2 linked regions of the Arabidopsis thaliana genome follow. The protein of the gene in region 2 interacts with the protein of the main gene of each other region in a biochemical or structural test. Each region holds a gene or a part of one and is shown on either strand. Other genes may lie near its edges.

Region 1 (4,615 bases), on a different chromosome or scaffold from region 2:
TTCATCTGAGAGCAAAGACAAGCTTGATGAGTCTGATGTACCTTTGTCAGTAGGTCTAAAGAAACGGACTTACTCTTTGGTTGAACCTCACAATCAAACTAGAGCTTTAGCTGCTTATCCTCCAAGGTTTCGTGAAGAAGTGAAAGAAGAAGAAGAAGATAGAGAGAGTGTTGCTTCTTCTGTTGGTAGTTGTTGCATGGATACTGATGGTCTCAGTGCTGTTTCATTCAATCCCATTGAAACCGGTAACTCTAGTGACACAGAGTCATCGTCTTGTGGCTACGGGAAGGTCAAGAAGTTGGTGGTTCCAAGAAAAGGCTCAGAGGCTGCTGATGTTCATAGGTTAGAGCTGGATGCATACCGAAGCAGTATCGAGAGATTGCACGCATCCGGACCAATCATAACATGGGAACAAGAAACGTGGATTACAAATCTCCGTCTCAAATTGAACATTTCGAATGAGGAACATCTGATGCAGATAAGAAACCTTATCTCTGACGATAACAGTACTATATACAGATAGCAGCAGCAGCAGCATTGAGAACTACAGTTTGTGTTACATAGAATAAAAACTGAGTGTAGATTGTACAAATGTCATTTTATTTTTCATTCAGGTTTTTTGATTTAATTCCAAACTTGTGAAAGAAAATTTGATCATCTTTACTCTTTTATCTTTGCGTTGGACTTGAGGAAGACTAGCAATGTATATATGATTCATGCCATGGCCTAAAAGCTATACATAAAAAAGGAGATGAGAAGATTTGTGTACGTAATTGAAACACTAGTGATTAAACTAACAATTTCAAGTAGCACAGCTAAATATTCTCCTTTTATGTTTGATTCATATGACCAAGTAGCTACAATAGTTACAAAATCTAAAATGTTGCAACTGGCAAAGTAAAAGAAAAGTGGGTAGAATCAAAGTTTTCCAATAACCGCATATTCTTTAAGGCAGAAAAAACTTGACTGCAAATTCTCTTTGGGTCCCAAAAAACAGAACAATCCAAATAATTCCCCCAATTTTGGTTCTAAAATAGACCGATTGATTTATATGTAACATCAACTCAAAAAACATCATAGAGGAAAACCACAGCAGACATTTTTGGAAGATTTTACTCAAATGCGTCATCATCATCATCGGGGAGAGGCTGAGCTGCAGCAGCTGCAAGATCGGCCTCATTCTGCTGCTGAGCAGCAATGTCAAGGTGAACCTCTGGTGGAGCAAGAGCTGGTGACTCCACAAAGTGAAGGTTCTGGTCTCCAGCCAGTTTCCTAGCAAGGTACAAGAAAGGCTTCTCGAAGTTGTAGTTGCTCTTTGCTGATATCTCATAGTACTGCAGATTCTTCTTCCTGTGGAATGTGACTTGCTTTGCCTTCACTTGCCTGTTCTTCACATCGACTTTGTTTCCACACAGAACAATCGGGATGTTTTCACACACCCTGCAAAGATCACGATGCCATGTCGGAACATTCTTGTATGTGAGCCTTGCTGTGACGTCAAACATTATTATCGCACATTGACCATGGATGCTGCAAGAAAACCGAAGATTAGCAATATATCCAGATGGAATATCAAACAAACCATTATCATTCAAGTCCCAGTCAGCTATTCCTATTGTCCAGGTAACAATAGTTGCAAACATGACATGTGAGATGGTTCTTGAATTTCACAACCTAACCAGCGCTAATCAAAACAATGCAAACTTTAATAGATATTGAGATCTTAACAGATTACTTCAACAACATACGATTCCTATTCCCACCGTCCAGGTAACAAATCGGTTGCCAATTTTACGCACAAACCAACCAGAGCTAATCCAAACTATACACACTCTAGATTGAGTATACACACAAACATATCAATGGAGATATGTATACTTACTAGTATCCATCCCTAAGGCCACCAAATTTCTCTTGTCCAGCAGTATCCCAGCAGTAAAAACGGATCTTTCCGCAGTTTGTGAAGAAATCCAAAGGATGAACCTCCACACCAATAGTAGCTGCAACAAACAAGATTAGGACTCAACATCAGATGATGTTCACAGAAATTGTGCATTCACAAGCATCTTTGCTATACTTACGTTCATACTTCTTCTCAAACTCCCCAGTAAGATGTCTCTTCACAAAGGTCGTTTTCCCTGTACAAAACACCAAGAGCAATCATAGGTTTAGCAAGAACTAATCAAAAACATTGAACCATACTAAAACTGAGCCAATGAAAACAACATTCCGGATCATCTAAGAATCGATATCCCAAAGATCTGCTCAACGAAGGCCTAGTCTGTAAGGTTCTCTTTAAAACCAATCAAACATTGATATTATCAAAAACCAATCGTACAAATCTAATCAGCACATCATCAAAATCTCAAATCCGTCTCTTAAACGAGAATGCTTTCAGATGGGGACAGTGAAAAGACGATCAAATTTCAGAGATCACAAAAAACAATAGGTCAAAAAACACGGCGAAGAATACTGTACCTGTGCCTCCATCACCAACGATGACGAGCTTGAAGCTAGGATAATCTACGGTTTGTTGGTTAGGTAGAGCCTGAACAAGATATCACAACAAAATTCAGTAAAATCCGAAAAAAGAAACATCAACGAAATTAAGCGATCTCGTGAGATCTAAATACTACAAGACGAAGAAATCGGGAAAAGAGAAGAGAATGTTCACCATGTGAGAGGAGAAGCGAAGTCAGACGTTGATGTCGTCGAGGTTTAAGAAGCGATGCGGCGAGAGGGACTAGGGAGAGAGATGGGGTTTTAATAAGGAGAATTTTGGGAGGTTTTGGCTTAGGTTTGACGCTATTTTTTCCACCGTTAGATTCCATCTTTTGGCTCTCCAATATCTACGCAGCTTTCTGCACCGTTGGATCTTTTTTTTTTCAGCTTTAGGTCCTGGTTTTGAGTTTTGACAAAATAAATAATATATTTATTTCCTGTATCGTATGTGAAGTTTTGATTTTATTTGTAGCATAGTTTTTTACTAACAAATCATTTAAATAAGGATTTATTGTCCGTAACGGATAGTTTCAAAATTTCAAGTACTCACTCACATGACATCCATCTAATGATGCCTTTCAAATTTAATGGTAACATATTAATACCAACAATATTTCCAGAAATTAATATACACATCGATAAATTCTTAAGCTCAAACTTGCAGAAATTGGTCTTAGAGCTCACGGTTGAAGAAAATGTCTGGAATCACGGATTGAAATCGGTCGTTGATTTGAGGGAAAGGGTTACTTCATTCTTCAATGCAAGAATGGTTGCCAAACAAAAAGTTATCCGATTATTATTCTACAAGTTCTGGTGCGGATTGATTAAGAAGATCAAGTTTCAAAGAAGAAAAGGAAGAGGATTGCAGAAGAATCTGCAAAGCTAGAGAGATCGGGGAAGGCAAAGAACTTAACCATTGTCAATGCAGGTCAGGTCTCCCAACAAGATCTACTTGCAGCTAATTTTACCCAGGTTTATATGACATCACCTGGTAGCTAAAGAGTGGCATCTGAAATCTAAGAACTGGCAAGTAATAGGAGGTAGAATAAAGTTTTCCAATCAACTAATATTCTTGCGAAGAAACAACTTAGCTTTGGATACCATCAGAAGAACCATCCAAAAATACATACCTAATTTTTGTTATAAGAAAGACCGATTGATTTATATGTAACACCAAAACAACATAGAGAAAACCAAAAGGAACAAGCAAGAGCTTCCCACGGCAGACATTCTAGAAGGATGATTTACTCAAAGATATCATCATCGTCATCGGGGAGGGGTTGAGCTGCAGCCTGTAAGAGCTCGGCCTCGTTCTTCTGCTGATCAGCAATGTCAATGTGAACCTCTGGTGGAGCAAGCGCTGGTGTCTCCACAAAGTGAAGGTTTTGGTCTCCAGCCAGTTTTCTAGCAAGGTACAAGAAAGGCTTCTCAAAGTTGTAGTTGCTCTTTGCTGATATCTCATAGTACTGCAGATTCTTCTTCCTGTGGAATGTAACCTGCTTTGCCTTCACTTGCCTGTTCTTCACATCAACTTTGTTCCCACACAGAACAATCGGGATGTTTTCACACACCCTGCAGAGATCACGGTGCCATGTCGGAACATTCTTGTATGTGAGCCGTGCTGTGACGTCAAACATTATTATAGCACATTGACCATGGATGCTGCAAGAAATTCAAAGATGATTAGCTATACATCCAGATGGAATATCAAAATTAAAATTCAAGTTCTACTCTATTTGTCCAGGTAACAAAATCAGTTGCAAACTATGCATACTTCAAAACATACCAGTCTTATACCCATTGTCCAGGTTAATCGGTTGCCAATTTCAAATCCTAACCAGAGCTAATCCAAACTAAGCACACTCTAGATTGACTCTAGACACTAACCTATCAATGAGAAAGTAAAGGGTCCACACTTACTAGTATCCATCCCTAAGGCCACCAAATTTCTCTTGTCCAGCAGTGTCCCAGCAGTAAAAACGGATCTTGCCACAGTTTGTGAAGAAATCTAATGGATGAACCTCCACACCAATAGTAGCTGCAACAAACAAGATTACGACTCAAAATCAGAATCATTTAAGAGACATGAAGAACAGAAATCTGAACATTCACA
Region 2 (5,187 bases):
CCATCCCACCAATCCAAAGACTGAGATGATGAGTCGTCGTCGTCGTCGTTGTTATTAAGAGCAGCGGCGGCGGATGCGGAAGTAGCAGCAGCAGTAGCAGCAAGCAATACGTTCCGATCAACCTTCTTCTCTGCTCTCTTCTTCTTCTTTATCGTTTTGATTGGTCCCATCTAAAACCAAAAACTGTCAAAGAGATTTTCCTGCGTTTTGGGTTTGGAGCTTAAAGCATGCAATAGAGAAGAGGATTAAAGTTCAAAGAAGAGAGATTTGGGGTAATGTGATTTGATTTCGACTTTCAAAAAAAAAAAAAACGTGGCCATTGCTTCTTTTTTTTTGCCACTTGTTTTGATGATTAATTGCAAAAGAAGGTTTTCGAAATTAAAGATCCTTTGGACCAACTTTAATTATCTAGGTTCGGATTGGTAACAGGCATAATTGGATTGCTTATCTTCTAATTGTTATAGTCCGCAATAGGCATATATTTGATCTACTCTTTAATCTATTGGATTCTCAGTCTTTTCTAATGTCAAGAATCTTCGTTTGTTACCTTTTATCACTCTGTTTGTGCCGACATTTTTAAGATCATGGTCGGAGAACAACATATGAAGAGAAGAGAGAATTGGAGCGTCAAGAAATAATAATCCAATATATTAAGATACTTTTGGTTTTTAGACTTTAGAGCATTCTATGAAAGATCATAAAACAATACAGAATAAAATTTATGGTTTTCTAAAAGAGGACCAAAACTCCACTCTTCTACCAAGTGGTCCACGTCCTTCCATATTCCTCCAATGATTCAAATGTAAAGTTTAAGAACAAAATGTATAAGCTGTCTTTGTAGAGCTTGTGGGATCATCAGCCTTGTTTTTGCAGCTTGTTAGGGCAAGCTGAAGAAAGATGACCTTTTTCTCCGCACTCGTAACAGTTTCTCTTTTTGATCTTACCAGTGCTAACCGCAGATGTTAAGCTTGCATCATTAGCTCCATTTGTCACATCAATGGATATCGGAACAGTAGCATAGCTCTCATCCATGAACGAACCACCATTGTTTTCAGTGTCTCTTGTTTTCTTTTGAAGACTATAGCTTGTTACCTGAGTCGGTCCTGCCTCAACAGTTTGGTGATCCAGCGTTGAGTTTGTGTGAGAAGTGTTTTGAAGCTTTATGGGACAGGCTGTAGAAAGATGACCCTTTTCTCCACACTCATAACAGTTCCTCCTTTTGACCTTACCAGTGCCAACAGCAGATGCTGAGTATCCTCCATTATAAGTTTCATTTGTAGAAGCGTATGTCTCATTCATGTAGTAAGAATCACCACTATTCTTTGGAAGACCATAGCTTTGCATAGCCGGTCTACCATCAACAGTCTCTTGACCCAGCTTTGAGTTTGCCTGATCATCAGCCTTTTGAAGCTTTATGGGACAGGCTGTAGAAAGATGACCCTTTTCTCCACACTCATAACAGACCCTCCTTTTGACCTTACTGCTGCTAACCGTAGTTGCAAAGTAGTTTCCGTCATCAACTTCGCTACGCCCAGCTAAAGCCGGTACTGGATCAGCAGCAGCATAAGTATCTTCCATGTTGTACGAACCAGCATTGTTCGTTTCACCAGGTGTATGATCAGTAGCTGGTCTGTCTTTAAGTGCACAACATATCTTGACAGGTCTTCCGCAAATAACCTGCTGATCCAGCTTCAGCGCAATCGCCACAGACACACTATCCTTGAAATCCACATGCGCATACCCTTTAAACTCTCCTGTTTCTTTGTTTTTACCCAACCGCACAGAGTTTATTACGCAGTCAGAGAAGAGCTTCCGTATGTCACGCTCTGTTGTGTCCCAGGCTAAATTCCCAATGTATACCCTGTTATAGCCATCCACCATTTCTGGAGCGAAACCAGAAGATGTTTTCCTTCTTGGAATGGAAGGGGTGGTGGTTTTCACGTATTGCTGGATTGTCAAATATCGATCACCCCTAGTAGTAAAGTAAAGAAAAATTACTCAACCAATATCAAATGTGACCAAGGAAAGTCTTAAAATATTTGAGTCACAGCTATAGATTACTTACATAGCAGCTCTATCAAAAGCCAAAGCACGTTTTGCGCCATCTTCAGTCTGTATAAATGAAACGAAAAAAAATATCAACACAGTGTATGACACAGTCCATTTAACCAGTCTCTAATCTCCAGCCACCAAGGCAAAAAACTAACTCTAAAGTCTAATCCCAAAACAACAACGATCTATGTTCTTACAAAAACAAAAGGCTGCATCATAACACAGCAACGTTACATGGAAAAACTTACGTCAAAAGTGATGAAGGCAATACCACTGAAAGCCCCATCTTCAGGACGCATCTTGCAATCAACTTTAATGATGACTCCACAGCTTCTAAAGTAGCTACGAATCTCATCTTCTGTACTCTGATAAGGAATACCCCCAACATATAACTTGTTAGGAACAACCCCATCTTCTTCTTTACTGGAAAACAAAACACCAAGTCGATTAATTTACATAAAATTGAAACTAACAGAGCTTTAAAATGAAGTCGGTTAAAACAAACTTACTTGTCTGTATTAACTTCAATCTCTTCTACCTTCACCTTCTCTTCTACATTGCCTTCCTCAGCCTTCTTTGGCGTTTTGTTTACCTTTCTCTTCTTCTTCTTCTTCTTATTTTTCTTCTTCTGGGGTTTTTGCTCTTCCTTAGTTCCTTCATCTCCTTCTAACTCGTCGACTTCCACAGCATCGTCTCTCTTTCTCTTCTTTTTAATCTTCGTATCAGTCTTCTCGCTTGACCCACCATTCCCAACTTCATTCTCTCTGATTTCGTCGTCTTCTCTAGCGAAAGTTTCGCAATTTCTTCGTTTCTCTCTCTTCGACAATCTGGGTTTGTGGCTAGATGAATCAAGGAGCAATTTCAGAGACTGAGATTGTGGATTTGTTTCGGATACAGAGACAGATAGTGATTCAGCCAAATCTTGTCGAATCCTCTGCTTCAGCTTCTTGTTCGACAGCACCATCTTCTTCACTGAGACCGCCAAAAACAAAAAACATAAAACCCTAATTGGATGATTTTGATACCACCTACATATGGGCCGGGCTTCAGATTTATTATGGGCTTTTCATAAAACGTCTACTACTGTAACAAAGAGCCCCAAAATGTTTAACTGTTCATCCTAATTTGTATATTTATGTAAAACACCCATTGAAACTGTGCGTTTTGGTTACATTTTTGTTATCTTGCAAAGATTTATTATTTTGAAGGGCCATTTTTGCAAATTAGTGTTTTTTTTGTCTCTCTGACATTTTTAAAAGGTCAGGAAGTTTCAAAAGTGGATAAACTGAGAAAGAAGTGAATCCATAAGAGAAGACAACAAAAGATCTATCTCTATACCACATATTACACTTTTTCTCCAATGGCTTCTCTGAAGCTTTCACCTTCTTCTCCAATCTCCATTTCTAAGGTTGGTGTGATTCCTTCCTCTAAGAAAGGACTTTCATTTCTTGTAAAAGCAGAGCACCATTCCTCGTCTTCTTCTTCTCATCTTCAAGGTTTGTCTTTTCTTACGTGTTTCCGATTCAAATTACTCTCTATATTCTGCTTCTCTGAGGAAAAAACGAATCTTTCTTCAAACCCTTTTATAAAGTTTGTGTTTTTATTTCGTTTTTTTCAGATAAATGTCAGAGACGTCTGATTGTAACATTTGGTGTTGTTGCTCCTTGGATCTCATTGCTTAGTAGAGCTCCATTATCATGTAAGTACCCTTTTTGTTTGTCACTAATTTTGCAATTTTTGTGTGTAATTTTGAAATGTTTGATATGGCTCAGTTGCTGCAGAAAGCAAAAAAGGATTCCTTGCTGTCTCTGACAATAAAGATGCTTATGCGTTTCTCTATCCATTTGGTTGGCAGGTATCAATTTTGTGATCTTCTTTGCCCACTTTTTAACAATTACAATGTCTTGTCTCATTGTTTTGAATGTGTGTTTAGGAAGTTGTGATTGAAGGTCAAGATAAGGTATACAAAGATGTGATTGAGCCTTTAGAAAGTGTTAGTGTGAATTTGGTCCCAACTAGCAAACAGACTATTAAAGAATTTGGCCCTCCCAAGCAGGTAATGTTCTTCTCTTTTGTTTGGTTGTTGTTTTTCACTCTCTTTAATGATTGAACTTGGTTTGGTTACAGATAGCTGAAACACTGATAAAGAAAGTTTTGGCACCTCCAAATCAGAAAACAACCCTTATTGATGCATCAGAGGTTTGCTCCTTTTGATAGCTTTTTTCGACTAATTGAGTGGAGGCTCTTGAATGTAATAATAAGAGAGAGAGAGAGGGTGGTTTTGATTGTTTGGTTTTTGTTTCGAGTGCTGCAGCATGATGTCGATGGGAAGACTTATTATCAGTTTGAGTTCACTGTTCAAGCTAGAAACTACACTCGCCATGCTCTGGGTACCATCACGGTTTTCAACGGTATATACATCCCCATGAATTCTCACATTCATATCTAATACACACTGACTGCAGTATCCAATGCTCATCGAGAAATGGCGTTTTGCTGTGCAGGAAACTTCTACACACTGACGACGGGAGCGAATGAAAGGAGGTGGGAGAAGATGAAAGATAGGCTTCACACTGTGGTAGATTCCTTCAAGATCACTGTTTGAAAATACTGTAATCAAGTTTGCTTTGGTTGTCTCTTGTTTTGCCCATTTCTTGTATTTTTGTCCATTCTTCTTCTCTCTTTCCCTTAACAATATTCTTTTCCTGTAAGAGAGATTCAATAACTCTTGACTTGCCTCCTTACCTCTCTCTCTGCTTTTAACCTAACTTCATCTTGTTTGGTCAATTTGATCTCTAGTCATAGTTTTGTAGCTTCAGCTACTAACCAGAAAGGGCTTATAAAGTGTCATGTTACAGCTACGAGAAAGTCAGTAATCGAAATGCTCTGTCAAGAATTAGCTCACCAGTAATATATAAAAAATATGCAAACTCGAAGTCGCTGTGTCCGTTAGCAGAACCAGCTCTTGTGTTACGGTAGGTGACGGCACAGTACACTGCAACGGCAACACAAATTATTATAAAAAATCTCACCAAAATTATTGGAAAATAATTAAAAGAAAAAAAAGGCGGAAGAAAATTATTTCTTCTTCTACGATTCTTCTTCTTCTTCTTCCTCTCTACAAACTTAGCAACA

What was found.
Region 1: the proteins of PHIP1 (region 2) and RAN2 form a complex in vitro, tested with the Arabidopsis thaliana proteins (one study listed by BioGRID).

The regions. Positions count from the first base shown.
Region 1 is NC_003076.8:6,760,879-6,765,493, reverse strand, and holds RAN2 (RAS-related GTP-binding nuclear protein 2), read right to left. Parts: upstream 2,926-4,615; 5' UTR 2,678-2,925; coding exon 2,675-2,677; intron 2,549-2,674; coding exon 2,479-2,548; intron 2,139-2,478; coding exon 2,082-2,138; intron 2,001-2,081; coding exon 1,883-2,000; intron 1,531-1,882; coding exon 1,113-1,530; 3' UTR 811-1,112; downstream 1-810. Other genes in the region: AT5G20030 (Plant Tudor-like RNA-binding protein), read left to right, coding at 1-523; RAN-1 (RAS-related nuclear protein-1), read right to left, coding at 3,747-4,164, 4,423-4,540. UniProt on the Arabidopsis thaliana protein: GTP-binding protein involved in nucleocytoplasmic transport. Required for the import of protein into the nucleus and also for RNA export. Involved in chromatin condensation and control of cell cycle.
Region 2 is NC_003074.8:20,513,501-20,518,687, reverse strand, and holds PHIP1 (phragmoplastin interacting protein 1), read right to left. Parts: upstream 3,059-5,187; 5' UTR 3,017-3,058; coding exon 2,562-3,016; intron 2,476-2,561; coding exon 2,301-2,475; intron 2,113-2,300; coding exon 2,066-2,112; intron 1,973-2,065; coding exon 856-1,972; 3' UTR 629-855; downstream 1-628. Other genes in the region: AT3G55350 (PIF / Ping-Pong family of plant transposase), read right to left, coding at 1-170; PPL1 (PsbP-like protein 1), read left to right, coding at 3,413-3,548, 3,671-3,751, 3,825-3,907, 3,986-4,108, 4,180-4,251, 4,367-4,463, 4,557-4,657. UniProt on the Arabidopsis thaliana protein: RNA-binding protein which mediates polarized mRNA (e.g. Ran2 transcripts mRNA) transport from the nucleus to the vicinity of the cell plate during cytokinesis and phragmoplast formation.